Linked DNA regions of Alligator mississippiensis. Each later gene encodes a partner of the first gene's protein in a complex. Links are inferred from orthologs where the notes say so. Each region holds a gene or a part of one and is shown in the gene's direction. Other genes may lie near its edges. The genes, in order: MED24, MED13L, MED25 and CCNC.

Region 1 (7,554 bases):
TTCATAGGAGAATCAGTTATGCAGAGTAAAGGGAATCCAGAAGCTGGGAATGGTCAGACTGTAAGGCACTCAGAGTTGTGAGTAGCTCACTAAGAGAGTGGCTTGGGCTAGGTCTTCACTGCAGAGGTTGCCAAATGCAACCCTGCCTTTAGCATAGAGCTACAGAAGAAGGGGTCCCAGAATGCAGTGCTGTGTCATGATCGGTTGGTGAGACCCACAGAGACAGCAGGTTCCAGCATGTGACTGAGTCAATATGGAGTTTTGCACAAATATTCGTCTCCTGCTTTTCTTGGTGGCAGAGCACGCCCCGCTCAGCACGTCTGCATTCCCTTGAGACAGGGAAGGGAACCAAGACAATCCCCAAACATCTGCCAGGTCTCCCCCCTTCTGATGGCCTCCTCCAGCCAGAGGGCTTGGCACAGAGATCTGTGCACCAGGTTGAGAAGGCGGTGCTCTTCTTTGAAAAGCCTGCCACTTGTCCTTGAGAACTAAAGATTTCTACCTCTCTGTGTGCTGTAAGTCCTACTGCAAATACAGTGACTATACAAGAGAACACTGCAATTAACCTTTTCCAATTTATCTCACAAAAAAGGCTCACAAACATTCCTTCCCACCCTTCCCTGCCTTCCCCCCACCCCACCTTTTTGCTACCCCTTGTCCTGCCCCTCACCTTCCCTCCTATACCCCAATGATATCTCATCCCTGTGGTTGCTATAGTGATTGTTTGCTGGGGGAAAGCTACATCTAGGGACTTATTACACATATTTAAGCATCTTTTAAAGGGGCCTAACAATTGGAAAGGAAAGGAGAAGGAGTTGAGGGAGTCAGGACTATATGCTCAGCCCACATCACACTTAGAAACATGTAGCCACATACTACAACATGCAAAGCTGTTACCAGTATCTGGCCAGCTCCCAGTGGGCCATGCTCTGACAATTGCTGATTGGAAGATCAATTGGGAAGCTCACAGGCTCTTCTAGCGGTGAGCTCCTGAGAACAGGAACAGCTTCCTGGACATTTGGAAAGAGCTTGGTGTGTGGCTGGCAGAACCATGAATCAATAAAGAAGATATTACTGAGCCATAGAAGCTGACTGTTTCTTAGAAGAAGCAGAGTCCCAGCCTCTCTGGCTGTGACCCCTCCCCATCCCACACCCACCCATCTCAGGATTCAGCCCTGTTCTCTTGTAAGTTGAAGGCAGGGTATATTTGTACCTTATATACCAGTAGTAGCTAAAGCCCCTGGTGGGGGTGAAGGATGTTTGCTGGTTGTAGGGCCACTTATAGTTCTGAACTGACTCACGGATTTGGACTTGATTTGGCTGATTTGGCTTGGAACACAAAAAAATTCTTAAAAAAAAAATCGTATAGACCAGTAGTTCTCACCCTTTTAGACTCAAGGCACCCTCCATAACTTCTGTGAATTGAGGGGTGCCCCATTTCAAAAGCTAATTTATTTATTACAGGGCTTACCTCCTTGCAGTGGGGACAGGGGGGCCACCAATCAGGAAAAGCCTGAGCCTGCCCTGATCTGCTTATCTCTTCACACTTCCCTAATCGCCTTACATTTCCTCTGGCACTCTTCAAAGGATCTGATGGCACTCCAGGGTGCCCCAGGACTCTGGTTACAAATCACTGTTCTAGACTAACTAAAGTAGACTCATCCATCAATCAATCTATTTATCTATTGCACAAACCTTTGTGAGCTGAAGTTTCATCAGCAGCTGATGAAGTGAGCAGCAGCCCTCAAAAGCATGTATTATATCTATATCTACTTTGGTTAGTCTAGAACAGTGGCTCTTAACCTTTTTAGATGTGTGGCACCCCTCATTTTTCCTAAGGCACCCTAGCTTTACTCAAGGCCCTCTCCATAACTTTTGTGAGCTGAGCAGCACCCTGTTTCAAAAATGAATGTCTCAATGGTGGCACTACTTCCTTGCTGAGGCGACAGGCAGTGGAGGCAGGGCAGTGGTCAGGCAGGGACCAGCCTGAACCTGCACATGTCTCCTCACACCTGTCTTGTCTCTTAACACCTTGCAGCACCCCTCAAAAGATCTTGTGACACCTCAGGGTACCCCAGCACCTTGGGTGAGAATCATTAGTCTATAACAGTGGTGGCCAACTTTTTTGCTCTGCAAGCCAGATGGTCAGTGCCAGGTCTGTCTGTGGGCCACATTCGGATGGTGGGCTAGATCCTGCATGCAGGGCTGGCCAAGTATGGTGTGCAGCCTGACCCTGATCTGATCACCCAAGGGGGTGGGGAATGAATGATTTGGCCCAAATCTGGATGTACAGGCTGGCAGGGAGCAGCCTGGCCGTGATCCAGACACGTGGATCAGGGCCAGGCTCCAAGCTGGCTCCAATCTGGACATGCACGAGGGCGGGGACACAGGGACTGGAAGCAGCTTGACCTATTCCAGACTGGTGGCGGGCAGGCCTAGCATGGATCCCACGGCATGGCAATGGCCTGGGCAGTGCTGGATCTGGCACCATTCTCTCACCACCAAATTCTCTGACCCATGGTGAAGCCAGGTGGCACAGCTCTGTACCCTGGATTTGGCCTGTGAGCTGGGGCTCAAGCACCCCTGGTTTCATAGTTTCATAGATGTTAGGGACCAGAAGGGAACTTACAGATCACTGGGTCCAATCCCCCTGCACTTGGGCAGGAAAGACTGCTGGGGTCAGATGACCCAGCAAGATGGGTGTCAAGGTGCTTTTTGAAGATTGCCAGGGTGGGTGACTGTACCACCTTTGGCGGGGAGCCTGTTCCAAACCCTTGGCACTCAACTTATAAAGAAGTTCTTCCTTACATACTGCCTGAAGTGGTCTTCAATCAGTTTATGCCCATTGTTTCTTGTCCTCCCCTGAAATGCCTTGGTGAACAGATGCTCCCTCAGGCCCTGATGTACCCCTAATATATTTATAGGCTGCCACCAAGTCCCCTCTGAGTCTTCTCTTTTCCAGGCTGAACAGTCCCAAGTCTTTCAGCCTCTCCTCATATGACCTGCCCTCTAGGCCTCTAATCATGCATGTGGCCCTCCTTTGGACTCTCTCAAGCTTCTCCACATCCTTCCTGAAGTGTGGTGCCCAGAACTGGTTGCAGTACTCCAGCTGTGGTCTCACCAAGGCCAAGTAGAGCAGGAGGATGACATCCTTAGCTTTACTCGAGATGCTTTGGTAGAGGCATGCCAGTGTTTGATTGGCTCTGCCAGCTACAGCACTGCATTGGTGGCTCATGTTCATTTTGTTGTCTATCACGACACCTAGGTCTCGTTCAGTTGTGGTGCTGGCAAGCGTAGCACTGCTTGTAAGTGTGTTGTGGATTATTTCTCCCCAGCTGGAGCACTTAACATTTTTCTGTATTAAACATCATCAGGTTGAGGTCCACCCACCTCACAAGCCTGTACAAGTCAGCCTGTAGTGAGCACTCCCCCATAGTGACCACACTCCCCCATAGTTTGGTGTCATCAGTGAACTTTGTCAGTTTGCTTTTAATACCTGAATCCAAATGAATGTGTTGAAAAAAAAGCACTGGCCTGAGTACTGAACCCAAAGAGGGCACCTGGGTTTGAGCCAAGGCATCTTGTTCTGCAGTCAGATACTCTACCACTGAGCTATACCCCCTCTACAAGCTGCATCAACCCATCCTTCCACCTGGCAACATTTGTGTCTGAAGGTCAGCGTTGCCAGGTCTTAAATATGAAATGATTGTATTGGAAGCTCAAAACTATTGTCTTTGCAGAAAAATGATTTTACACTGAAAAAAAATGCAAATAAAACTTATTTACTTCATATTGCTCACTATAACTTGCCAGTGAGTGAGGAAGCACTGGGTTGTTGAAGTTGGAGCATTTCTTTATTTCAAAGCAAGCAGTCATTAGGAGGTGCTGACAGCAAGTCCAGAAGTTGGCTTGGACTCTCTGATGTTGAGTTGGGTTTTACATGTGCTGCATCAATGAGCTGCCTCAAAAATTATAGTACGTTTGGAATGCTTCACTGTTATCAGTCACACATCCCTACAAGGGTTGAAATTATGGTACAAATATGATAATTACCATACCTCTGGCAGCACTGCAGGGGGTGGTGGCAGAGCTGGGTGACAGCAGGGAGCTTTCCTAGGCCCCGCTGCCCAGCCAGGAAGGAGGGGCAAGCTTTCTGGTGCCACACATCATAGGCGGCTGGTCAGGGGTGCACGTGCCCCCCCTCTGATGGGGCCGGTGCCCCCCTGACGGCCAACACTGATACTGTCGGTAGGGCTGGTGCCCCCCGACAGGGTTGGTGGCTTCTGCGGGTGCCCCCTCAGATTCAGGAGGCACCAGTCACTCATGCCACGGATTTCTAACTCTGCGGGGATTTTGGCGAAAAAATTAAATCCCTGCCGAGTTTTCCCCAGCCAACGTCCGCACCGCCCACTTCCCCCGCTGGCAGAGACAGCCCGGCTGCCTGCATTGGGGTCTGCCAGGCTCCGACCCCCCAAGAACCACAACTCCAAGGAGGCTCAGCGGCGCTCGAGCGTTCTTCCGGCCAATCAGGGGAGGTCTTGTTGGTAGGTGCTAAGATGGCGTAGTCCAGGGCCCGCAGGAGGTGTTTTCTCTGTGCTGCGCTGCTGGGGGGCTCGCAGGTGAGGGGTCCTCCTGGCATCCGACTGCGGAGGGAGGAGGGTGGCCCCCTTTCCTCCCCCCGCCTCGGGCTGGGAAGAGATATCGCCTGGCAGGAGCCTGCTTCCTCCCCGGGGGGTGAAGAGACCCAGGAGTTCGGGCCGGTCACTGCCTTGAGCGCCAGGCCCTGCCTGTTCCCGGTGGCTGGAAGTAGTTCCTAGGGACCCTGGCTTCACAGCTCCGAGTCTCCCCCACTCCCAATTCTCACCCCTGGAGCCTGTCCTTCCTCCCTCAGCTTGGGAGTGGGACTCAAGCCTCTCAGCTCAGCACTTGGACCAGCCAGCGCTGCCCCCTTGTAAGTGGTGCTGGTGGCATGAATAATAATGTAGGAGCTCATGCATGCGCCCTGGGAGAGGTGCAGGGGTGATGTCTTTCCCTGGGGGGCCCCAAGTGGGATGGTGAAAAATGCCTGCTCTGATGATGCTGCCAAACCTTTCCCCCTCTTGCTTTCAGACCTGAAGGATGAAGGTTGTCAATCTGAAGCAGGCCATTCTTCAGGCCTGGAAGGAACGGTGGAGCGATTACCAGTGGGCTATCAATATGAAGAAATTTTTCCCTAAAGGAGCCACGTGGGACATACTTAACCTGGCAGGTCAGGATTTAGCTTGTGTGTAGGTACAAATGTTTGTCTGTGGTACTTGCGCGCTTCCAAGCGAGGTGGATGCATGGTGAAGGAAAGCAAATTACGCAGTTGTAACATATTCCTAGTTATCTCTCCCACAGCTTTATCAGAACTGCAAAACTGTCCGGCAGCATCCTTTGGAAATGGAGGATGTGCTTGCTTTTCCCAGCAAAGGTGGGGTTGCAGCAGGTGTAGGCATACCTATGCTCCCTTGGGTAGCTGTGAGGATGTGGATACACAGGCAAGAAAGCTGCTCAGATATAACCCCGCCAGAGATGCCAGGGGTATGTTTCTGTTGCTACAAACGCAGGCTGCCAAATCTTTGCTACTGTTGCCCAAACTAAATAGCTTTCATTTTAGCCTGGGTATATAGCTGGCATTCAGTTGAAACGTAGGTATATCTTAAAGCTCTAGTCCTGAAAAGACTTATACATGTGCTAAGCCCTGCTGAATTCAGTGATATGCTAAAAATTAAGCGTTTAAATCTTTGTAGGATGGGAGAGCTGTCTCGTGATTACTCACTGCAATAACACCTGAGCTATTACAGATGTCAAGGGAGTCGGGGTAGGTTAGTGGATGGAGCACTGTAGTTCTAAGTAACCAGCTCTTGGTTACCTACGTGACTTTGGCCTGTTGCTTCCCCATCTGATGCCTAGCTATACAATGGGATAACACACCCAAGGATGAAAAGTGCTATATAAAAATGACATTTTTGGGGTTTTTTTTAATGGGAGCATCTTCTAACCCACAGATGTTATTAGCATTTATTTTCTGCATCTCTATTCAAGAAAGGGGGCTGCCACAAATCCTGCCAAATGTTGTTGCCTACTTGAGTATACATAGCTAAAGATTTGCCAGGCTCTTATGCCAATTATAGTAACTTGTTGCTAGGTTTTCTCCTATAAGCATGCATTGGGAAGATTTATATAAATAAATATAAAGCACTTGGTCCTGGACTGATTTGAAGGGGAGGTTTTTAAAGGGTAAAAATCCCTATTTAAACCGACATTAAGACTGAAATAGAGCATCCTTGTTGTTCTGATGGTTGGATCTCCTGTATCATGATCTCCTGTATCCTGAAATCCTATCTTCCCTCCATACCAATTTAATCGCCTTGGTCTTTTCTTTCTCCAGTGGAGGGGGTGGGGGTTCTTTTTCACTTGATACCTGTTTTCACTTGCTTTCAAAAATTCTTTATTGATGCATTAATATAGGACCCCTGGAACTGATTGGACACTTAACAGTGGGAGGATTATTCCTTCTCATCAGAGGCTAGAATAAAATCAGGATTTTGAAAGCAACAGCCAGGTCCTGAGGGCAATGCATCAATGAGAAGTCCAGTTTGCCCCTGCTGGGAAGTGTGAGGGTCCTAGGATTTTTACTGTGGTGCCATGCTTGGGTGTTTCTGAAGTGTGACACTTCTGTAATATCAGCTTCTATTTAGAGGGTGTGTGCTGTTAAATTTGAAGCCTCACCTGGCTTGCTTGCTGGGATGGAAAGCCATTTCCACTCTTTTTTCCTTGGATTTCCACAGCAGATGCAAGACCCAGTTGGGAAGTAATACATCTGCTATTCCATCCCTTCCCTGACGTGGAGAATGTGTTCCTTTGCTACAATATCTCCCTGTCTCTCTTAGGTATAATTCCTTTTCTTGGTTTGCTAAAATCTTTCTTAGGGGACAAATTTTTGCAATCAAAACTGACCAGAGTCCTGTTTTTCTGAGAGGCACTGGCACAGACTGCAGGCTTTAGCAAATAAACAGCATCAACTACTTTTTCGAAAGTTTTCTTCACAATCCTAGTGACTTGAAATGGGATGTTTATAAACAAAGGTGCAGAAATATGTCATTTAGTGCTTCCACCAAGTCCAGGGTCACTATTGAATGCTTCTGCTCAGCTGTGGGTAACAGACCTTTCAAGTTGTGTGTGAACTGGATCTTGCTATACAAAAGAATACACAGGTTACACGTCCATAACCCAGAGTAACAGCTGCTGTGATGGGATCCCTTTAGATATAATTGTGCTACAATTCGTTTCTATGCCAAGTTGTACTGTGATATATGCTTTATCTCCTTGCCACTCCCACACATTGTACATTCCTCATTCCAGGCTTCTACTCCTCTTTGCGGGCTTGTTTCCTGCCTCCACTCCTTTGTCTGCATTTTAGCCTCTTAGATAAGCTTTTATTAATATTATGCAGGCCCCCATTTCTCTGTAAAGCATTCAACACAGATTGGGCACGATGGTTAATATTTTCAAATCCAGTTGCCTAAATTT
Region 2 (7,367 bases), on another chromosome or scaffold:
TTATTATGGCCATAGAGTTGTTATGGGACAGTGGTATCAGGAATGTCATTAAGTGCTTGGATATTGACACAGTTTGATGTGATCATTTATTAGCAATGGAGTTTGCTATTGTGAATCCTACCCAATGTAGGCCGGTGTTTTGGCCTGCCTTGTAACCTGACAAGTAGAAAGTGTGTTCTTTTTCTCTAAGCACACTGCTGTCATGTAGTCTAGTCTTGGATAAGGCAGTGATATCTATTTGATACCTGTGTAGCTCCTTTGCTATTAATGCAGTTCTTCTACAAGCTCGATTTTCCTTTTAGTGTATGAATGTTCCAGCATCCAATTGTCAGTTTCTGTCTGTTTTTGTTTCTCCCACTTAAAAAGGAGATCCCGCTGATCATAGGAAACCAGCCAGGAGTTGGTGAGAGGTGAGCCTTTTTTACCCCAACTTTTATTGGGGCCTCCTTGGATTGAGGCAGGTGGTGCCTCCCTAATTAGGGCCACCTGGTTGCCTAGGTAGGACCTCATGTTCCCATCACCAAGAGAGAGTCATGCAACCATCACACCTAAGCCACTCATGTGGAGATCATAGGCTACCTGCTTCCAGCTGTTCAGGTTTGTCAGCACTGCCTAGGAAATTCTCACCATGACTGTTTGGTGAAGAGTTTGTGGATGATGATGGTGAATACCTCAGCCCACCCCTAACCCCTTCCATTGTTGCCGCCTGAGGGACTGACGCAGGATGATGCAGCAGTGGTGGGGGGAGAAGCAGGCCAGATGTGGTTTGAGGGAATAGTGGGCGCGCCGCAGCAGTGGCAGTGGGGGGAGGGGAGGGGAGGAGTGGGCCCGGGCCTCACGTGGTGGGGAGGAGGACCAAGCCCAAGCTGGGGGAGAAGCTGGCCCACGCGGTGGGGGGAGCAGTGGGCCTAGGCTGCCACAGCGGTGAGAGGGAACAGGATGTGCGGGCTTGGAGCTGACAGTGGGGGGAGGAAGGGGGTGGGGTAGAAATGGGCCCGGGCCCAAGGAGGGGAAGAGGCTCATTTCTCCCCTTTCTCAGCTGCTACCATGTCGGGCTGGGCCCACTGCTCCTGCCCACCGCTGTGGTGGGCGGGCTTCTCCTCAAGCTCACCCAGGCCCACTTCTCCCTGCCCCCTCCCTCCTCCCCATTGGCTCTGAGCCCACTCCTCCTGTTCCCCTGCCACCGCTGGGTCGGCCCAGGCCTGCTGCCCCCCCCCTCCACGGCAGGCCGGCTTCTCCCCACCCTTGAGCCTGGTTCTCCCTTGCATTGGGCCAAGGCCCACTCCTCCCCTCCCCCTGCGGCGGGGAGGGAGAGATGGTGGGGAAGAGGGGTGGGAGGGGAATGGGAAGGGGGGTTACTTGGGCCAAGGCCCACTCCTCCCCTCCCCACTGTGGCGGGGAGGGAGAGATGGTGGGGAAGAGGGGTGGGAGGGGAATGGGGGTTACTTGTGGCTGTGTCCCGCCATGGTGGCAGCCGTCACTGAAGCAGCAGAGGAGATGTGGGGAGTGGCCGTGTCCCTGCCCTGGCACGAGGCAGCTGAATGCAGGCCTCTGTCCTCCTCCCCTGTCATTTTTGATGGGCAATTTACTAGTCTAATATTATAAAAGCCTTAGTTTGTCTGTCTGTCTGTTTATAACGCTTTATTTGTGACCTGATTGGCTGTCTCAGCAGCCAATCAGAATGCTCTGGACAGACAGGACAGAGAGTGGAGTGCCACCATGGCAGTGAGGGCTGGGGGCGAGGGGCCAGGCCAATGGAGCTAGCGTGGTCCCCCCTGCCCCACTCCTTGGAGGCAGAGGGGGATGGTGGGGATGGAGCCGGATGGCCTCACCCCACCAATCTGCTCCTTGGAGCTAGGGGCCAGAGCACCCCCCCGTCACCCCGCAACAAGATCCAGCAGGGAGACGGGGGGGAGGAGAGGAAGCAGGCCTGCCATGGCGGGGCGGGGGGGCAATGGGGTTGGGCCCGCAGCAGGGGGCAGGGGAAGAAGGGGGAGTGGTCCTTCTTCCCCCGAACCCAAACTGCTGGGGGAGGGGGGGGGGGACAGAGTTGAGCCTGAAGGGGGCGGGGCCAGACTAGTGCGGTGGGGGGCAGGGACGGGAGCACAGGGCCAAATGCTGACCTCCATCCCCACCTCCCCCCATCATTTTTGATGGGCAATTTGCTAGTAGCAGTAGTAATAATAATAATTATAATTATTATTATTATTAGTTTTTCAGGTTCTTCAGGGAGGATGGAATAGAACTGATGCTTAACTCCACTTACGCAGGATGGCGGGGGGGAATCATCCTAATAGGTGGAATAGAATCTGACCCCAGGGATCTAAAGTCTATCCAGAGCAGTGCATTTGTACAGTTTGGACAGGGCTGTTGTGCCAGTATATGGCTCCAGATTTACTACAACGAAACAGGTCTTCTTACTAATTCTGTTCTGTCAGTGTAATAAAATACTAGCTCCTGCTGATTACAACTATTTGCAAAGAAAAGTAAGCGATGAAAAATATTATTTAAAAACGTGAAGAAAGCTCTTGTTTTCACCAAATAGGATAAAAAAATCTGCTTTTGTACTACATCAGATAGTTTAAAATGTGTTGTATGTTTTTTCTATTTGTTATTCAATATTGACTTTAATTGCTAGGCAAATTTAAATTAATTTTACTTTTTAAATGGCGATTTTCCATTTGTTAATGAGAAGTCTAGGTAGTTCAGCTTTATTCTACATGGCTAAGTCAGTTTCCTACTTGAAAGTTTCAAAGGGACGCTGTCAACTTTAGCATTTTACATACAGTTCTTTATTCATGTTGCAAAACATACATTAAAGTAGAAATAAATATTTTCATTAAAATGAAGTAATATTAACTATAGCTATTTGTTGCTATTTGATTACTTTTTTGAGTGTTTTTCCCCTAGGACAATGAATACAATTGTGCTCAGTTTCACTTGTTTATAGTCAGCTTTACTTTCAGGTATAGTTAATTTGAGGGAATGTGTATTGTTAAAGATAGGCAAATGTTTGTTTTAAGAGCTGTTTCAAGTCGAACAAAACAAACATGTATGAGGTAAGATTCTTTATATCAGTCTAAAAAGCATCCTAAAAGTGTGGGACAATTTGATTTAGCTTTTTAACATGGCAATCTCCATGGAAACTATAATGTTAAAAGGAATAACTTAATTCTAAATTACTTTTTGCATTTTTTAAATTTATAAATACACTTACTGCTAAATATTTTGTTTTGCTTTCTAAGATATAGCAAAGTACTGGTATGCCCTGTACGTCACATTTAAAGCAATGAGTGATTCGGTTCCCCTTCCAGCTACTCTTCCGGTGCCAGCAATATAGTCGAAAGGGCCCTGGCAATTTATTTATTCGTTTTTGTTTGCGTCTGGATGGACATTATCATCGTTTTGTGCTGGAGGATGGACAAGCGCAGTTATTCACTCTTAACATGGGATCTTTCACTCTGCAGCAAGTGACAGCAAGTTTGGGGTCTCTAAGCCACCCAATAATAAAATGTATCAAGCGATTTGCCTGCAGGTAATATTGCTAGCAAGGCGGATGCCACGGTTTGTTTTTTACGAAGCACCTTGCGCTCTCCCCAGAGGGCTGGGTATCGCGCCAGTCGTCAGCACTGAGGCAGGGGAGGTTTGCAAAAACTCGGATCGTCCAGACTTGTGCCCAAGCTGCCACTTTTGGGTAGCCACTGCAACGGGGAGATGCCTCTGGTTATAATGGAAGGGCACGGATTCATTTGGGTGATTTTCTTTTCCTGGACCAGCGCCCTGGTTGGGATGAAGTCAGACAGGTTTTGGCCTGGAAACCACCTCCTGCAGGCCTCCAAGGTGAGCAGGGCAAGGGGAGGCTCTAGGAAGAGGGGGCCTGGTCCACCTGCCCGAGATCCAGGGCCCGCCCCGGCTCCCACCGAGCAGCAGCCCCTGCTCCAGCTGGAGGCGGCGCCGCTGGAAGCCGCTGCCCCGAGCCCGCCGGGCGGCCCCGCCCCCGAGCCCGTTGCTGACTCCGCAGCACCCCCAGCGGAGCCTCGGGACTGCGCAGGGGGGGCGGGAGCCGGAGCGCTGCCCCCCTCCCGTCGGAACGCGTCACGTGGGGCCGCGGCGGCCAATGGCGAGGCGCGCTGGGCCTGGCGGCCGCCATTGCTGTCAGAGCGGAGAGAGGCGGCGGCCGGGCGTGCGGCGGAGCGGGCAGCGGCGGCGGCGCCGGGCGGGCAGCGCTGCGCGAGGGCGGCGGGGACGGGCGGGGACAGCGCGCGCGCTCTGGCCGGGGGCCGCCGCCAGCCGCCCGCAGCCCCCGGGGCCCCGCGCGGGGCGTAAACAAGGCGGCGGCGGCGGCAGCGGCGGCAGGAAAGCAGCGCCCGCCCACCGCCAGCGGCGGCAGCAGCGAGGGCGGCCGGGTCGGGCCGGGCCGGGACACGGCCTCCGCCGCCCGCCGCGTCCTGCCGGGGCCGCTCCACGCCGGCCGCCCAACCTGGCCGCGGGCGGGCCCCCCCCGGCGGTGCTGACGGCGCGGCCCCCGGCGGCTCGGGGTGTCGGTCGCGGCGCGCAGCGCGGGCCCCCGAGCGCCCCCGGGCGGCGCAGCGCCCCCTGCCGGCCCCGCCTGCGCCGCCGAGCCCGGGGCAGGACCGGGACCGGGACCAGGACCGGGACCAGGACCAGGACCAGCACCGCGGCGGCCGCCCCCGTGAGCCGCCCCGCCCCGCCCCGCCCCACCGGGCCCGTCTCTTCAGACATGCCCCGCTCCGGCGGCCGGGCTCGCCGAGGATCATGACTGCGGCGGCCAACTGGGTGGCGAACGGGGCCAGCCTGGAGGACTGTCACTCCAACCTCTTCTCGCTGGTGAGTGCCTGGCGCGGGCGGGGGGCGAGCCCGGCCCGACCACACCCGGCCCGGCCCCGGCGCACAACGCGCTGCTCGGCGGGCGACGACGCTCCAACTTCGCGGCTCGGCTGCCGCTGCCAGGGGGCTTTATATCCCGGCCGGCGCGGCGCGGCGGCTCCTCCGCAAGCCCCTCCCCCGGCTCCGCTCCGTGTTTGTTTTGCTCTCCGACGTCGGGGTCGCGAGCGCGTGTCCCCTCCCCGGCGGGGGGGGCGGGGGCGCAGCCGGTCCTCTGCCCGTGCCCGCGGGGAGCAGCCCCCGCCGCCTCTGCCCGCCTGCCCCGGCGCTTCGCGCCTCCCAAACTGCGTGTGCGCTCATGTCTCTGCTCCCCCCTCTCGGAGCGGCAAACGCCATTTCAGCAGCAAGCAGTTGCGCGCAGCGATTACGTGCAGGGTGGGCACCCTGGGCTCCGGCCGCTGGACGCGCCAGCTGTCCTGCTGGGGCCGCAGCTCTGTCCCCATCCCACAGCTCAAAGGAGAGGAGCGGGGACAACACCTCCTCACTTTTTTTGTTTCCTAAGGGAAGCGCTCGCTGGGAGTGTGGTGGGCTGGGTATCTTGCTAAAACAGATGCTGTCTTCTCATCTTGCTGGTAACTGGCAACTTTCACTCTGTTTTTGATGGCAGGGTTTAATTTTGCAGCAGTTATTGTATCAATTCTTCATAGTGAGACACTCAGCTAATTGCAGATCCTTAAAGAGAGTAAGAGCTGTCGCTTCTTTGTTTCAGTGATGGTTCACTTCAAAATGCCTTTTCCCCTCCTTGTCCCAGATACCTTGTCCCTGCTTGCTGGAGAGCAGACCTAAGGGTTCTCCCTTAGTCATTCAGCTAGGAGCTTCCCACACTGATACCTGGAGCAAGTAGGAAGCGAAGTGGGGCTTCATTAGAGTCTGCAGTTGGGTTGAGCTAAAACAATAGCTAGTAATGGGAGGTTGGGAACAGCCTTCTGGAGGAATGTGTGGGGAGGAAGAGCGCAAAATGTGAGAGTCGAAAGTCTCACTTCTGGAGAGGCAGGGAAGGAATGTTGAGCAGGTGGTGATGCTGGTTTGTTTTTTGTTTTGTCTTTGTTCCCAGTTCATGTGCGTATGTGTCTTCATTTTCTAAAATCCTTGGTTCAGGGGTAGGGATGTGTAAGTGACTAAGAACCGTGTCATTTCTAAGTTGTATAAATGGCATAGTATCAGACGTGTTTTGGGGCTGTTGGTTGTACCTGTGCTGATCTAAGGACGTAGGCAGACAAGGTTCTTTGGGTAAATGCCGTATCTTTTATTAGGCCAACCATTACTTGGTTTAATAAAAGATATTGATCGCATTTACCCAAAGAACCTTGTCCACCTAAGTATATTAGGCATACTTTCATTCACTTCTCTTCATCTTAATTTGGAGTGTCTCTCACATTTGATGTATCTTGAATTTATTAAGAATGTAACTCTTTGGGGCAGAAGTCTTATTTACCTATGCACGTGTACAGCATATATTGTGTTGGGGTGCTGAGCCTGTCATGGCTTTTGGGTGGCCCCGTAATACAAACTAAAAAGCTCTTGGCTTTTGCATTTGTTCCATAGTTGTGAAAATGGTTACACTGTTAAAAAAATAAAATTGCATTTACAGAGTTTTTTCCCTGAACCATGATAGTGTGTATGTGGCTGTGCGTGTGCAGATGTAGCAGTGATTCGTATAGATCAGTTTTGCATATGGAGACAAGCTAGCCATTAAATACAGGATAAATAACTATTAGAACTGTTAGCAGTAAGTTAATAAACAGTATCTTTAAAAAAAGAGGATTATTCAGGTTTTTTAATAGGAACCTGAGCATATTTTAGGAAGTTGTTAGCATGGCATAACTTCTTGTGTAGTGTTATACTCGGTGCTAATCGCTACTAAAATAGTTTTTGGCATATGATATTTTAAACTATAAAGTTATAAGATTCAGAGATCTCCTCCTTCCCCAAGAGTTTACCATTTATACTGATAAACATCTATTGAGCAGTAAGTTTTTAATATGTATGCAGAATATCAATGAAAAAATTGAAAATTCTTCATCTCTCATTCCTGTTAATCATCTATAAATTCTGCAGAGCCAGAAAATATTGCCCTTAATTTGTCTTATAAAACTACCTTAACAACTTCACTTGCTAGTGGCTTTTGTGTGGCTGTGGTATCAAGTAACTTCTAAGCAGTGATTTGCAGATTAATGTCTTAATTAAGAAATTATGCTTTCCTACGTATTTTGTGTTAACTTCACTTGAAATGTCAAGGAACTGACAAGACTCAACTATTTTTTTTGTAAACAAGTTAATTAACTGTGGTAAAGTCATGTTTGTTTTAGACTCTTATCGTGTCAGAGAACAAATGTGTTGCAACTGTCATTTGCTATTTATTTGTACAGTGCCCAGCACAGTCGGGCTCCAGTTTGGTTTGTCTTTGGGCATTGCCTAAATTTGGGGGGCTAAATTTTAATTTGAATCCCTCAGTGTGGTGG
Region 3 (7,248 bases), on another chromosome or scaffold:
ATAGCCCCCACCCCAAATTAAAGGGAATGTGTTGCAATGGAAGTGGGGGGTGCATGAATTTGCCCTGATCTGCTCACCCCCCCCCCCACCTCCCTGGGGACCCCAGGCCTGTGGGATGACGCTAATAGCCCCCCCACCCCCCTCCTAGCAGCTGGGAGAGCTGCTGCTGCCCCAGGGAGGGGGAGGAAGCGGGGGTCCCCACAGGTGCTGGCCAGGCTCCATGGTATTTGCCGTTCTAGGTGTTTTAGCGTCACGTAGTTCCTGCGGATCAGAGCGTGTGTATCTATCTCCATGTGACTAATAAATGGGGCACCTGCCAGGGCCCCTAATACCACCTGCCCCCCTCCCCTGAGCTTCATTCTGTGCTGTGGGACCCGGCAAGGGAGGGCTAGGGGCATCAGGTCACAGGTACAGTCGCCACCATGGCACTGGGATACACCTGCTTCTGGGGTGGAGCATGTCACAGCAGGGTGTGGAGCAAACTCTGGATCCTGCAGGGTGGGGAGCACTATGCCCCTCTCTCTGCTGCACGGGTGGTCAGGTGGAAATGACACAGGAAACACAGATCGGGGTATTCCCTGAGGTTTAATTACAGGCAGGTGTGTCTCAGCCCTGGTCCAGGGCCCTGAAAAACCCAGGTGTCTAAGCTGCCAGCCTCAATCCCCTCTCTTGCCAGGCTGTGGGGATTGAGGCAACTAAGCAGCCAGTGTTCATTCCCCCTGCCTTAGAGGAGACTCAGGACCCCAGTAGTCAGCATCAGTGCTCTCTTGACATGTAGGGATCTGGTCACGTGGAGTCTGTCTCTTATTGCCAAGCTGTAGGACCTAGGCATTTGGGCGGGTGGCATCAGTCCCTTGGCCAAGCCATGGGACCCAGGTGTCCAGGCAGGTGGTATCAAAAGGCAGCATCCCCCACCAGGTACTGCAGAATATGGGTAGCCAGCGGGCGCAGGGCAAAGGTGGGAACCTCGGGCGCCAGTAGCAGGAAAAGCTGATGCGGGGGCGCCTGGGCAGCGTAGGCCTTGTACCCAGCACTGACCACATAGCAGTGCTGGGCACTATGTGAACCCCCACCTAGGGGCAGCTCCAGTGGGGGCACTGCAGGAACAGAGGGAAGGGGGGTGCTTAGGAGGTACCTGCCCAGTAGTGCCCAGCAGAACTAGAATCGGTGCTAGGGTCCCTGGTTGGAGAGGCTTGGGGGCCAGCTCCTGCACTCACCTGGGCTCCCCTCACAGGGAAAGTAATGTGAGACTACCAGGGCATAGAAGGCCCTCAAGACAGAAGCACAACTCCCCAGGGGCAGTGCAGGGCCTGTGAGGAAAAGGCAGGGAGGAGGAGGTGGGTGAGGGCAGAGTGGTAGGCACTGCCCTGGCACTGCTGCAGCACATTTTGGGGGCATCAGGAAGTCAGGGTTTGTGGGGGCAGGACCTACCCTCTGCCTGAACCCCTCTGGGCAGCACTGCACTCAGACTCCGCTTCTGCTCGCGGTTGATCAGCAGGAAACTGAGGGAGGAGATGTAGTGAGATGGGGTGGGGGGCAGCTAGCCAGGGGTGCTGATGCCCCTGCCCAATGTCCCATTCGCCCTCCCCTGACTTACGCCAGGACTCCAGGGTGCAGTGGGACACTGGGGGGACATGCACATGCCCGCAGAGGCTCCAGCAGGGGCTTCCAGAACCGTGGCACTAGCTGAAACGCAGAGATAGGCAGGCTAATGGTGCCAGTGTTCTTTCTCCCCCCCCCCCTCAGCGCCTTAGCTGGGGCTTCTGTGCAGGCTTTGTGGGGGGGTACCATGCTGTCCCCCCTGGCACCCACCTCAGTCTTCACAGCCTCCAGCGAGGGGCTGGGCCCACACAGGAGGCAGATGTCCAAGCCGGGCAGCAGCTGGAAGGTAAGGAGACGGTGGGGGACCTAGGGGGGGAGGGGGAGGCATAGGCATGGTTATGTCTACTCCCTACTTTCCACCCCTTGCAGCCTTGAGCCCCTCCCCATGGGCTCTCACCATGGGGCTGCCCTGGGGCAGGTAGACAGGGTAGTCCCGGGTAGTGCTGGGAAGTAGTGAGCCCACGAGCCAGGCCAGCAGATTCACCTCCTGGGGGGCCAGCTGCCACCAGGGTTCAGTGGCCACTGCCACACGGCCGCCCACCAGCAGGCAGCCAAAGCGGCTCTCTGCTGCCCGTGTGAAAGCAGTCAGGCATTCCTGGAAGAGGGGGGTTAGGAGGAGGAGGGGTCAAGGCAGGGCAGCTCCTTCCTTGTCCTGGTCCCAGTAGTAGTTGCCCCTCCCCTGGATCCTCACTTGCTCCAGCATCCCAGCCTTCTGCTCATTCCTGTTTGTCCCTACTCCCGTGCCTGTGGGCCAGGGCACCAAGGTCCCTCCAGGGGATAAAAGTAGGGCGTGGGCCACCGTGGAGCTCTCACCTGCAGGATGGTGCTACAGGGCACAAGCACACACTCCACACAGTGCGTCAGGTCCCCAATGCGCTCCCCAGGCATCAGGAAGCTGTCAATGAGCTTGTAGCAGGCCTGGTTGTAGGTGGGGGGAAGGGTGGAGTAGGGCTCAGCCCCACACCAGCTCAGGGCAGGGGCATATGGCCCTGTTGCCCCACCCCACGTCCAGGGCAGTTGGGGCATCCTGCTCTGCCCTTCCATCACTTACCCTCAGGTCCTTTTTAAGGCGCTCCACATTGCGGATATTCGCCAACTCCTCCAGGCCCAGCACCAGCACCTGGAACCAGGCCCCAAGCCCATCAGCCTGACACACTGAGGGGCTGGGGCGCAGGGCTGAACCAGGGCAGCTGTGTGAGGATACAGCTCTGCGTGTGTACATATACATATGCGCACACATGCCTAGGGTCCTCTAAGGGAAGATGGGGAATGTGGGTACACTTCCTGGCCCCCCCCCCTCCCCCTCAGCCCTCTAGGGACCCTTTGTGTAGAGGGGTCATATGACAGCACCCCCCTCTGGAAGGATAGGGATGGGGGCTGGATGTTAGAGCAGGAAGGTGGGGTATGGGGGAAGGAGGGTTGCTCCATGGACTTTGCTGGGGGAAGGAAAGGGATAGGGGCATAGAATGGGGGCGGGGAGGCTTACCATGGCACTGAACACATTGTCCAGGAGTCGGCTGAGGGTGAAGTCACTAGCACCTTCCTCTGATGACATCACAATGAGGGTGATGCTGGAAAAGCCAAGGGGGGGGGTAATGGCCCTGTCCAGCACCATAGCCCTTCAGGGCCAGCCCCAAATGGACCCCCTGCCCTACCTGGAGCCCTGCTCCCCTCCCTCAGGCTAAACACCTGCCCCCTTCCTGCCAGACTCGCTCCCCCCTCCAGCTCGACCTGTGGTCCCCTCCCTCTCCCCCAGGCCAGGCCCCACCTGTTATGAAAGGCCCTCCACAGCACGCGGGTGCCCTCCGTGCGGGCGGCTGTCAGCGCCACGTCCAGGTTAGAGCCAAACATGTGGACGCCGTTCAGGGAGCCGATCACGGAGAAGGGGAGCTGGGGGCGGGGGCGGGAAGTCAGTGGGGTCCCGGGGGTGGTGGTGGTGAAGGGATCCAGGACTAAGCTCTCTGCCCAGAGCCAAGGGGGAACCCAGGCGTCCGCCCCCCTCAGCTGTGGAGGGGGGGGGGTGGCCGGATGGGACTAGGGCACCTGGGTTCTCTCCCAGCCCTGGGAGGGGAGTGGGGGCTGGGAGCCGGGTCACCTGGGTTCTCTCCAGGAGGGGCGGGGCGCGCTGAAGCCAGGGCGCCTGGCTTCTGCCCAAGCCGCGGACGGGGCTGGGGCCAGGACTCGCGGGTCCCAGCCGAGGGGGGGGGAGGGAGTGCTGAACCGCGCGGGACCCGATGCAGCCCGAGGCAGGCATGACTGATCGGGGGGTGGACGCCTGCGTTCTCTCGGGGCCGGCCCGACCTGGTGCCGTGTGGGGGCGCCGCGGTAGAAGAGCGGGACGCCGCTGGTGGCTGCCAGGCAGAGCAGAGAGACGGGGCTGCCGCCAGGCTCCGCCATCACCACCCTTTCAGCCTTCTGCAGCCATTTTGCCCGCGCGGGGCACACTGGGGAAGCCGCGCAATTACTATGGAGACCGGGGGCGGGGCCTAGACCCCCTACACCCGCACGCGGAAGCGAAGAGGAGTACTTCCGGTGGGCGCCGGAAGCGGGTCTCTACGGGGGTAGGCGGGGCCTGCGTGTCCATGGTAAGTCCGCGGGACAGGGGTGCGCCGTAGTGACCCACCGCCCGCCCGCGGGGCGATGGTGGTGCCGGGCCCGGAGGCGGCGGCCTTGGGCGGGCCTGGCGGGATGGTGGCCGACGTGGTATTCGTCATCGAAGGCACGGCCAACCTGGGGCCCTACTTCGAGTCGCTGCGCAAGCACTACCTGCTGCCCGCCATCGAGTGAGTGTCGTGTGTCCGTCTCCCTCCCCCCCCGCCTTGAACTCCGGCTCCGGGCTCTAATGCCAAGCTGGCACTTGTCCTGATGCCCCCCCGCCCTGAACCTAGGCATCCAGGCTCCAGCCCTGCAGTGTCTGGCTCTGTCTGCTCCTCCACCACCCAGCTGGGAGGCCCTAGCCTGCCCTAATTCCCACCCCCCCAGTGAACCAAGGCGTCTAGGCTTTAATGCCAGTCTGTGACTCCTGCAGCCTGCCCCGTGCCTCCCGTAGTGACCCTGGGCATTTGGGCTTTAATCCTTTAACACCTGGCTATGGACCCCCAGCTGCCCCAGTGTCCACCCCCACCAGCTGTGGGACTTCCAGGGGTGCCCCCCCCCCAGTCTACACTGGCAGGGTGAGCCCAAGGATCCAGGCTTTACCCCTTTAATGCTTGGCTGTGCCCACCCAGCCTGCCAGAATGACCATGCCCCTGCCCCCCCAGTGCTCAGACTCACCATTGCTCCCAATTGGGTAAACAGTATCCCATCTTAACCCTTCAATGCCTGGTTATGCCCCCCATCCCTGACACCCATCTATGGGCACCACCCCAAAAACTCCCAGCTGTAAGACCTCCCCCCTCTTTGCCCCATAGCTTGCCCAGATGCCCGGATACCATGCCTGTCCTGCCTTATTTAATGCCCAGTGATGTGTCGGCCCCCGCCCCCCCACCTGGCTCCAGCCCCAATCGGATTAACACATCTAACAACTTCTCTATGCCCCTTCATCTCTGTCCTGGCATGTGGCTACTTCTCCCCGCCAGTCTTCCATCTCTGCTCCCCCACCCTGATGCCTACTTATGGATCCCCCCAGCCTTCACTTGATATCCAGGTCTCACCTCCCTGACCCTGATGCCTAGATATGTACCCCTGGTCCCCAGCACCTGGCTACAGCCTCCTCTCTCTCCTCTTAGTGCCTAGCTGTGTCCCCTCATCACTTTCCCAGCTCCAGTCGTTCCCCCCCCCCCCGATGCCAAGGTATGGGACCCCCTAGCCTACTCCCAGTGCCCAGGCCTTCACCTCCCTGTCACCTGGATGTGTTATCCCCAATGGTTCCCAACACTCAGCTACAGCCCCCTGCCCCCTCCAGTGCTTAGGTGTGACCCCTCTTCTCTACTACAGCTCCCAGCTACAGTTCCTCCCCTCCACGATGCCCAGCTATGGGACCCTCCCTCCAATTTATCCTTGATACCCAGCACGCCCCCCTAAATGTCTGGCCCCAAGTGCCCCACCCTGCTGTCCCTGTTCTCATCCATGACAGCCAGGCACTGTTGATACCAGCTGGGCACCTCCATCAGTGGAAGCAGCTGGTCTGTCTCCCCAGCACAGCTCCATCCAAGCAGAATGAGGCCTGCTCGCTACTTGAATGGGAAGCCTCCAGATACGGTGGGAGGGGGAGAGAGCAGCTCTGTCCCCTTCACTGTTCCACCTGTTCTGTGTCTGTCAATTGGATCATAGCTGCCTTTTCTTACCTCTCCTGAGCCACCCCAGCCCCCAGCAGTCCCACCCCCTTCCTGGCACCCTCCCACCTGTGCCCTAACAACCCCCCTCCCCCCACAGGAACAGCCCGGTTCAGTTGCCCCACATATTCCTGCCCTGCTCCATCTCTCCTCCAGCCCCGCTGCCCCCTTCCCTATTTCAGCTCTGATAGCTTTTTCCTCTTGTCACAGGTATTTTAATGGTGGTCCACCAGCTGAGACAGACTTTGGGGGAGATGTGAGTAGGCAGCACAACATTGCCTGGAGAAGGGGGAATTTTATGGCCCAACAGTGTCATTCTGGGGGCAACTGTCGGGCAATCCCATGCGTGTGTCCTGCCCCACCTCCCGGCCCGCCTCTGGCAAACTGTCATGAAGGGTGGGATGAGCACCCTGGATCCCTCCATGTCCTGGGTGTGTGCATGGTATCACTTGTGGGTGCAGGAGTGGCCCTCCTGGTGTCCCAGCACCCCCTGCCAAGGGAGGGCATTTGGGGGGTACCTGGCATCTCCAGGCAGTGGGGTTGGAAAGCTGGTCAGGGATGTACCACAAGCTGGTCTTTCACAAGGGAGGTCAGGGTAGGATGTTCAATTTGCTGGTCATGCCTTAGGCAGGGACGTACCACTTATGGGCAGTTCCCAGGGGGATGGGGTGGAGTGTACCACTAGGGGGGCAGGGGTGGTTCATACCACATGTGTGTCATTCCTGGTGCAGGTGCCCTTTGAAATCTTCATGTTCTCCTGTTCACAGCAGGTTGTGAGCATGCAGGGTGCCCCTACTCACTTTGGGGGTTCCTTGGATAGTACTGTGGGGGGCACGTTATACCCTGCTCCCCTGAGGGTAAGGATACGGGTGGGACAGGATGAACTGTGGGGTGCTCCTCAAACTCTACCCCACCCCCATCTTTCCATAGAGGTGGAAGGGGCTTGAGGGGCCATGGAGATGCCCCTTCGTGGGACACTGGTCTCCAGTGGGTTGGTGGGCCAGGATGTGGTGCAGTAGCCCAGTCATACCTCACATGCTGGCAACTGATTCCTCTTGTCCCTGAATGCCTGGGTCCTCTACAGAGCCTGAGGTGTAGTTGGAACCTTGGGCTAATGTGGGACAACCAGGGTGGGGCCCAAGCAGGGAGGAGGTGAGGAAGGCGGGGCCCATCTCCTGTTACTGGTGTCCCTGGCTGTCTAGGGGCAGGGCAAGCCCCAGGCCCTCTCCTACCCCAAGAGCACCTGTGCAGAGGGCCAGGCTTGGCAGCAGCAGGAAGAACATGGGTCAGCCAGGGACAGTGGCAGTGGTGGGTCTCTTCCCCCCTGTCCCCTCCCATTCCCCCCTCCCAGCATGGTTTGCCACCTGGTTAA
Region 4 (7,834 bases), on another chromosome or scaffold:
GAGAACCACTGGTGTAAAGAATCAAGACCTATCTATATTTAAAAAAAAGGCAGAGAAGAAAACTTAGTATATACCAATCACAAGAAATTCCATAGTGGTCTCAGTCCAAAACTGTGCTTGAACCTAATAGGAAATATTACTTCTGAGAGACTGACCCAATCTCACTGATGTCAATATTCCAAAAATATTAAAGTTATATGGAAGTACACGAAATAATTGTAAATATGGCAACATAACTGCTATATCCTAACAGTGTTGTTCTAAGCAATCACTGCCTTAGACCCTAACCACGGTGAATGCAAAATTTCATCACAGTGCATGGATAAGAGGAAATGCATGAAAATGCATGAAATCCAGGCAAAGTATTCCTATATAATGAAAAACAATAAAATGCCTGATTTCTTAAAAAAAAAGAAAAAAAAAAGAAAATATCTTCAAGATCCTGGTTGTCTTGTAAAATGATCAATTGTTTTCAACCAGTCTGTTTAGATCTTCTTTTCTATTCTCATTGAACATGCAAATGGTCATCAGACACTAGAGCATATCATTATTTTTTCAGGCTAGCCACTTTTAGAGAAGCATTATATATGGCCTTCTTCACTGGTCTTTAGTTTTCATTGGCGCTTGATTCTTCTCTCATTTACAGAAATATAAATCAGGAATTATTCTACTGATATTAATGAAGTTACATCTGTACAAAACTAAGAAAGAAGAGAATCAGGTCCATTATTGTTAAGAAACTCAAGAGTTTACCTACATAGGCAGTTTACACTGGTGTAAACAAGGTTGCATTAATATAAAAAGAAGGGTGTGCACATGACTTAACTTGCACAGGTGTAACCAATGAGTTGCTTCAGAGATGTTATTCTCTTTGGAACCAATAGTAACTTTACGCTGGAGTGATGTTGTGTGCCTCTGTCTGTGGTCCAGAGATCAGTCCATAGTATAAAGCTAGTTGAACAAGATTTTTTACAGGAAGTCAGCACAGACACACATTTTATCTCAAGCACAGACATCCTCACAGAAGGGGACACTGATGAAAGCAGGACTGATGATTCCTATCAAGAGGTTGTGCCTGACAGCCAGGAGTTTTTCATTTCAAAGGAGCTGGAGTAAGATCCTACACAAAGACTGAGCTGAACTCCCTGAGCCTGCCCAGCTCTATTGCTGAGAACACTCAGGCTACCAACAAAGCTGCAAAGGAAATGGCAGACATCACTGTTTGCTTTTTTATTATAAGTGACTGAGCAAAACCCTTCTGTGACAGAGAGCACAATGCAATAAACATGAAGATTCAGCCATAGTTCGTGGCCATTATGAAGAGGCAAGGTTGTTGATGAACATGTTCCAAAGCTGCCACTCACCTTCTACTTTTTCCCACCCAGCACCATGGTAGCCAGAAGCTTTTCCAGACTTTTGAAAACTCACCTGACTGGGAGCAAACATTCACTAGTTGGACCCTGTGTCACAGCTCATTCCAGTCTGGCAGGGAAATGACCTTCAGCACCCTCTCAAACCAAGGCCCCACCACCAAGGCCCAATGTTCCCACATAGCCCCACAGATGCTGTTCACCTTTGTGTACCTGTCCTCCAAGTTCTTATGTAAAATCTCCCTTACCCTTTAATTTAATCCACACTGCTTGTTCACAATATATTTTAAATGTTCCAGGTTTTCTACTCCTGGCACTGTTTGTTCTGGTACCACTCCAAGTCAGATATTGTTTAATTATAAAATAAATTTATTTCCACACATCCATCTGTGCATCTTTGTTTGCAGAATGCATGGGAATCTGAAGAGGTTCTACATAGCATGTCAACAATAAGCCCACTTTACCTGGAGGCCCAGACATGCATACTGGACATATACTAAAAGATACCTGATATTTAAAATGAATGAAAGTGCACACAGCATGCACAATAAATCCTGCTGATCAACTGCACAAGATCCTGTCAGTAAACTGACATGCACCACTGTATTTAAAATCCATAAAACCAACACTTCATAGCTAGAACATCCCCAAAAGCCTATCTAAACCATTATGCCCTTTCCTCAAAGTAGTTGCACAGGACATCTCAAATAATGTGTCCCAAGAATTTGTCATCAGTTAGGCTGGTCAAACTGTCATAAAAATCTCCAAACCAAACCAAACCAAACCAAATCAAACCAAACCAAACCACTCAGCCTTCAGCAAGGAGAGCAAGGGAGAAGTATGATATGGGGAAGGAAGGTGCCCTTGGTTCTGTTCCTTATTCCCAATGCTGTTCATGCATCCAGTAGTCCTGGGATAAAATGTATAAACACCATTGGGAGCACCACCACGGCTTCACAATTATTGTAGTGGCTGCCTCACAAGATACAAAGTTTTGCTCCCTCCCATTTACTGTTCTAGCCCCAGGACTTTTTAATTCCTTCCCTTCCTGTCTCTCAGTCTCAACAGGATGAATGCAGGATACCCTCAATCCGGCCTAGTGGCAAGAGCATTTTTCTGGGAAGTGGAAGAAATGGCTTTAACCTCCGCTCAGGTTCAGTGAAACCTGGCATGCAAGTATCCCATTTTGTGGGCAAATGCCCATGCCACTTGGCTTTTGGCAAAAGGGAAGTGGCTCCTTTCCCTCCTCTTCCATTGCCCAGGTAAACATCTCCACAGGGTTAAGACTGCCAGCTGATGAAGGCACAGACAGTGTACCCTGAGTTGGGGGCCAGAGCACAGGGATTTCCCTAGAATTTCCTATTGTCTGCCTGTAGATAGCTAAGTATGCCCTGGACACACACACATTGCACATATTTCAGGCTGCTCTATTTTTCTAGGGCAGTGATTCTCAATCAGAGTGCCACAGTAGCCTTTGAAGGGTGACGCAGAACGGGGGATAAACACAGGCTCCAGAGAGATGAGTGCAGGCTCATCAGCAGTGACTCCTCCACCCACTCACTGCAACACAGGTTCTTCCCTGCTGGCTACTCCTCTTTCTTCACAGCCCCTCTTCAAGCAGGTAAGAGCTATAAATGAAGTAAATTAGTTTTTGAAATGGGTGCCACTCAATTCACAGAAGTTATGGAGGGATCCTTCAAGTCTCAAAGGGTTAAGAACCACAGCTGTAGGCTACTGTTCAACTGGTACAAACCCCTCTCCCATTTTTCCTGTTGCATCTTTATCCCTTCCCATGCAGAGGGAGAAGGTGTCCTCCTTCACTCACAGTTGTCATTAAATTGTCCAGTATCTGGAATTTAATGGAGTCCAGCCCGGTGGCTGGTTCCGTAAAAGACAACAGCAGAGAAACAAGGAATTCCGTCCTATTAGAGTACCTGTTACCTTTATGGTAGAGTTCAACCCCTCTGAAGGTTGATCAGGCACTGAGAGGCTGTCAGTATAACTAGTTGGCAGGAAAGGCTGGAGTGAGAAAGCAAGAGTGCCAGCTGCTTCCTGCCCAAAATTTAACTGCTTATTCCAGGGAGTGTCAAACTCACCTGGCTTCATGAGCTGGATGAATGGTACAGGGCTCACCCTACAGACTGAATCATGCCCATCCATCCCCATGCCAGATCCAGCACGCTTGGTGCCTGCTCCAGCTCATTTGGGATCTGCGGCGAAGTGGCCTGGCATCGTGAAAGCTTAGCTGCCACCACAGGAACAAACTACATTGCTGGACTTCTCACTGTGCTGCTGGGGCTCGTTTTGCTGCTCTCACCCAGGCAACTGGTTAAACCAGTGAGAGCTGCAGCACTAGAGCCCAAACAGCACCAGATCTAGCTCTGTGGGTCCAACACCCCTGATTTACACTGCTACAACACACTGAACATTCATAGCAGCACACGCAGCACAGGTTTCCAACAGGTGAGTCTTGTATTAGCTCTTACACACTTACATCACTTTCACCCCCCACACCGGCACAGATTGTTACTTGGGCTTCAGCCCAGCAGAAGGGCCAGCAACAAGCAACTTTACATCAGGGCTACAGGGGCCCTGCCTGGCCTGGCAGCAGTGCTGATGGGTAGATGTGATGATGGTCAGATGTACACGGAGAAAACTCCCTGGGGCATCACTGCCCAGATCCCCTGGGATGGGTCAACAGCCCACTCCAACTCAGAGCTGGCACGAATCCCAGTCCCCCAGTCCCAGGCTCCCATTTCTAGACCCCCAGACCCAAACCCAGTCTCCCAGTTCCAATCCCAGCCTGACTCCCAATCCCCGTTTCAATCCCAATCCGCCATTTCTAGTCCCCCAGACTCAATCCCACTTTCCCAGTCCCAATCAAAGACCAGACTCCAGTCTCAATCCCAGCCTGACTCCCAATCCCCGTTTCAATCCCAATACCAGTCTGCCATTTCTAGTCCCCCAGACCCAATTTTAGTCTCAATCCCAGTTGCAAACCCAGTCTGACTCCCAATTCCCTAGTTTTAATCCCAATCCAAGTCTCCCATTTGTAGTCTCCCAGGCCCAATCCCAGCCTGAATTCCGATCCTCCAGTTTCAATCCCAATCCCATCATAAATCCCAGCGTCACCGTCCCAGTTTTGACAATTCCCCAGTCTCAGCCCCGTCCCCAGACGAAAGCCCAACCCGCGGCCAGGCGGAGGGGGCGGGGCCGGGGGCGGGGCCGAGCGCGGTGCACCCGCTCTTGGTCCCCCGTCCGGCGGAACCCGCGCGCTGGCGGCGGAACTCTTGTCTCTGGGCGCGTTGCCGGTCGGCGGAGTGAGGGCGCGGGACCCCGGCGACCGCCTCCTTCCTCCTCCTGCCGCCGCCACCGCTGCTGCCGCTCGCGAAGCTGCTCCGGCCGGGGGGGGGCAGCGTGGGGGTGGCGGGGCTGGTCAGCCGGGGGGGCAGAGCCGCCTCCCCCGAGCCCGCTCCATGGCGGGGAACTTCTGGCAGAGCTCGCACTAGTGAGTGGGGACCCCCTCTCCTCCCCCTGCGGGGCGCACGCGGCCCCGGGCTGTCGGGGGGGAGGCGGGGCGGCCGTTGGGGGAACGTCCCGGGGGGCGGGGGAGGGGTCCTAAACGCACGTGCGAGTGAGTGTCATGGGGGTGCAAGGCGATTCCCGCCCACCACGTTGCTGGTCCCTGCTGTCAGTGCCAGGGGGTCTGAAAACAGCCTTTCTGTAGCCCCTGGTTGTGGGGGCTGCCCATGGGAGTGACCCCAGGGGAGCCGGTCCTGTTCCTAATGGGGTGGTTTTGGTAGGGATGACCCTGCCTCGATGACCTCTGCAGGTCCACTTCTCTATGATGACTAAGCCTGAGCATGTTTTGCGTGTTGGGTCACCAGGGTCTTGAAACAGCCAGTCGTTTTCCTCTGCCTACTTGCTCTTTTGGAAGTCCTTTCATTTTTCTCTCTCTTGCTGCCTGGCTTGGGAGAAGAAAGCTGACTGTGGGCCAGAAAAGAAATCCCATGTTGGGAAAACTGGAAGGCGCACCAGCAGCTGATGGGTTTCACGTCGGTTTCAGGAGGGTGCATAACACACAGATGAGCTGCTCCCCTCTTCCCCCAACATGCACCAAATACACATGCAGGATCTGTGACTGCAGCAGCTCTCCAAGTCAGTCGCAACCACCTCTTCCTCCTCCCTGGGGGCTGTCTGGCATATTTACCAAAGTCTGGCATACAAAACCTAACTCAAAGGTCTGAACTCAAGTAGTAATACTAAGGGGGAAAAAATAACAGGGACCTAGGGCTAGTAATAGACCACAGTATGAATATGAGCCGGCAGCGTGGTGCTGGAGCCAGCAAGGGAAACAATACTCTGGCATGCATCAATCAATGCATCTCAAGCAAAACCAAGGAAGTGATTCTTCTGCTTTACTCAGCACTGGTGAGACTGCAGCTGGAGTACTGCATCCAGTTCTGGGCACCACCCTTTAACAAGGACATGGACAAGCCTGAGAGAGTCCAAAGAAGAGCCACCCATCTGATCAGAGTCTTACACAGCAAGCCATACAAGGAAAGGCTGAGGGACCTGGGATTCTTCAGCTTAAAAAAGAGAAGGCTGGGAGGGGACTTGGTAGCAGCTTTCTGCTATCAGGGGAGTACACCAAGTGAAAAACTGTTCTCCAGAGCACCTTTGGGGAGAACCAAGAGTAATGGCCACAGACTCTTAGAAGACCATTTCTGGCTCAACATTAGGAAAAACTTCTTCACAAGTTAGGGTGTCCAGACTGCACCACCTTTGGAGGGAGCTCATTCCACAATCGCCTACCCTGGAAATCGTCAAGAGGAGACTGGACAGTCACCTTGCGGGGGGCACCTGACCAAGTATCTTTCTTGCCAAGTGCAGGGGGGCTGGACCTGATGATCTTCCAAAGTCCGTTCCAGCCCCTAACAATCTATGAATTTATAAAACACAGCTGCTCAGTGGGTGCAAAGCCAGCTTTTTAAAACTTGTCTTGCAGTTTTTGCTTTTTAAAAAGCCGTTGCGTTGTTAAGGCTGTCAAAGGAAAGTCTTGGGGAATGCTTGTGTTGGTCTTTACTTAGTATCTAATAATCTGCACCGAGGTGCAAGGTGGCAAAGATACAACCTGCAGAAACATGTAATCTGGTCCATGGGGCTTCAGGAGGGATTGGGAATTTGGGGGCAGGGCAAGGAGAGACAGGGGCTACCACTGAATTCTGGCAGGTATTTCAGAGTATGACCAGGGACATATTTCAATGATGGCTGTGGTTCCCTGAGCTGATGCAGATGCTACAAGCCTTGCTAGAGGCCAGATTGAGCCATAAAATCCAAGAGAGATTTGACATCCCTTATCTACACCACAGAGAGGGGGAGAAGGAGATTTAAAAGCTTTTCCTGCAAAGAAAGTCACAGCGAATCAAATATATTTCCCCTATAGAAAAGTTGGCATAGAATGAGCTGTGTCCAAGTATCGTTAGCACTGGGTATATTGAATTTAAATGTGTGGCATCTAAAATAAAATCTGTATGTAGTATATCTCTCAGACTTTATTTTTAACTAATAACTAATGCATTTGACATTTTTAGCGTTGAGAAGGCCTCTTATTTCTGGTGATTATTTTTCCTCAAAGGGCCTGATTTTGAAAGCCCTAATGAGCATTCATTTTGCAAGAATGTATCTAGCATTACAAGACTCAATTAAAGGGATGCACACCAGCCTGTTTCATCCCCAGATATGAACTATACTTTATTTGTTCACAAGTCACTGTATAATATTTGTGAATTATTTTTTTCCCTCCTAGTTTACAGTGGATTTTGGATAAACAAGATCTGTTGAAAGAACGCCAGAAGGACTTGAAATTTCTAGCAGAAGAAGAATATTGGAAACTTCAAATATTTTTTACTAATGGTAAAATGGTTTTATTTTTGATTAGCTGTCTAATTTGGGTCACACCTATGTATCTGAATTCATGGTTCATTTACCTAGAGCTTCGGTTTCTCCTATTTTTATGTATATATTCTCTTAACGTGTTTAAAAAGTTATATTAATATACGCATTTGAAAGATGTATGAACTAGATGCAGGTATATTTCTCAAAGATGTTATGAGAGATCTTGTTAAGTTTTCCTTCCTATTATCAGTCTAGTAAAGTAGGTAACATTCATTTTCTCAGGCATTGAGGCAGAGAATAGGACAGAAAAGTTAAGTGTCTTTATTGCAGGGACGGGCAAACTCCACCCTGTGGGCCAGATCTGGTTGGCTGTGGATTCTTATTTCCCAGCTGCTCCTGCCCTCATGGCTTGGGCCAGTTTCCACGGAGACCCCAGTTGCACCTGTGTGGAAAGTGCAGCCTGGGGTTGCCCTGGAGACCAGCCTGAGTCCCGCTGGCAGCGCGCGTGGCAGAGCAGCGCAGGGGGCTGCTCTGGAGCCGCCGGCAACTTGTGATGGGGGCAGCTT

Evidence for each region.
Region 2: MED24 (region 1) and MED13L share a complex: the UniProt entries of both Homo sapiens proteins name them as parts of the mediator complex. The link is inferred for Alligator mississippiensis from reciprocal best matches to the Homo sapiens genes MED24 and MED13L.
Region 3: MED24 (region 1) and MED25 share a complex: the UniProt entries of both Homo sapiens proteins name them as parts of the mediator complex. The link is inferred for Alligator mississippiensis from reciprocal best matches to the Homo sapiens genes MED24 and MED25.
Region 4: MED24 (region 1) and CCNC share a complex: the UniProt entries of both Homo sapiens proteins name them as parts of the mediator complex. The link is inferred for Alligator mississippiensis from reciprocal best matches to the Homo sapiens genes MED24 and CCNC.

Annotation. Positions count from the first base shown.
Region 1 is NC_081827.1:164,759,867-164,767,420, forward strand, and holds the start of MED24 (mediator of RNA polymerase II transcription subunit 24), read left to right. Parts: upstream 1-4,512; 5' UTR 4,513-4,619; intron 4,620-4,656; exon of another isoform or gene 4,657-4,951; intron 4,952-5,109; 5' UTR 5,110-5,118; coding exon 5,119-5,248; intron 5,249-7,554. UniProt on the Homo sapiens protein: Component of the Mediator complex, a coactivator involved in the regulated transcription of nearly all RNA polymerase II-dependent genes.
Region 2 is NC_081833.1:23,710,221-23,717,587, forward strand, and holds the start of MED13L (mediator of RNA polymerase II transcription subunit 13-like), read left to right. Parts: upstream 1-4,225; 5' UTR 4,226-4,776; coding exon 4,777-4,848; intron 4,849-7,367. UniProt on the Homo sapiens protein: Component of the Mediator complex, a coactivator involved in the regulated transcription of nearly all RNA polymerase II-dependent genes.
Region 3 is NC_081828.1:39,929,068-39,936,315, reverse strand, and holds the start of MED25 (mediator of RNA polymerase II transcription subunit 25), read left to right. Parts: upstream 1-4,145; 5' UTR 4,146-4,242; coding exon 4,243-4,385; intron 4,386-6,086; coding exon 6,087-6,132; intron 6,133-7,248. Other genes in the region: FUZ (protein fuzzy homolog), read right to left, coding at 895-1,097, 1,218-1,310, 1,432-1,502, 1,598-1,686, 1,813-1,908, 2,000-2,197, 2,416-2,520, 2,654-2,722 and 3 more. UniProt on the Homo sapiens protein: Component of the Mediator complex, a coactivator involved in the regulated transcription of nearly all RNA polymerase II-dependent genes.
Region 4 is NC_081824.1:85,518,227-85,526,060, reverse strand, and holds the start of CCNC (cyclin-C), read left to right. Parts: upstream 1-4,722; 5' UTR 4,723-4,846; coding exon 4,847-4,878; intron 4,879-7,179; coding exon 7,180-7,286; intron 7,287-7,834. UniProt on the Homo sapiens protein: Component of the Mediator complex, a coactivator involved in regulated gene transcription of nearly all RNA polymerase II-dependent genes.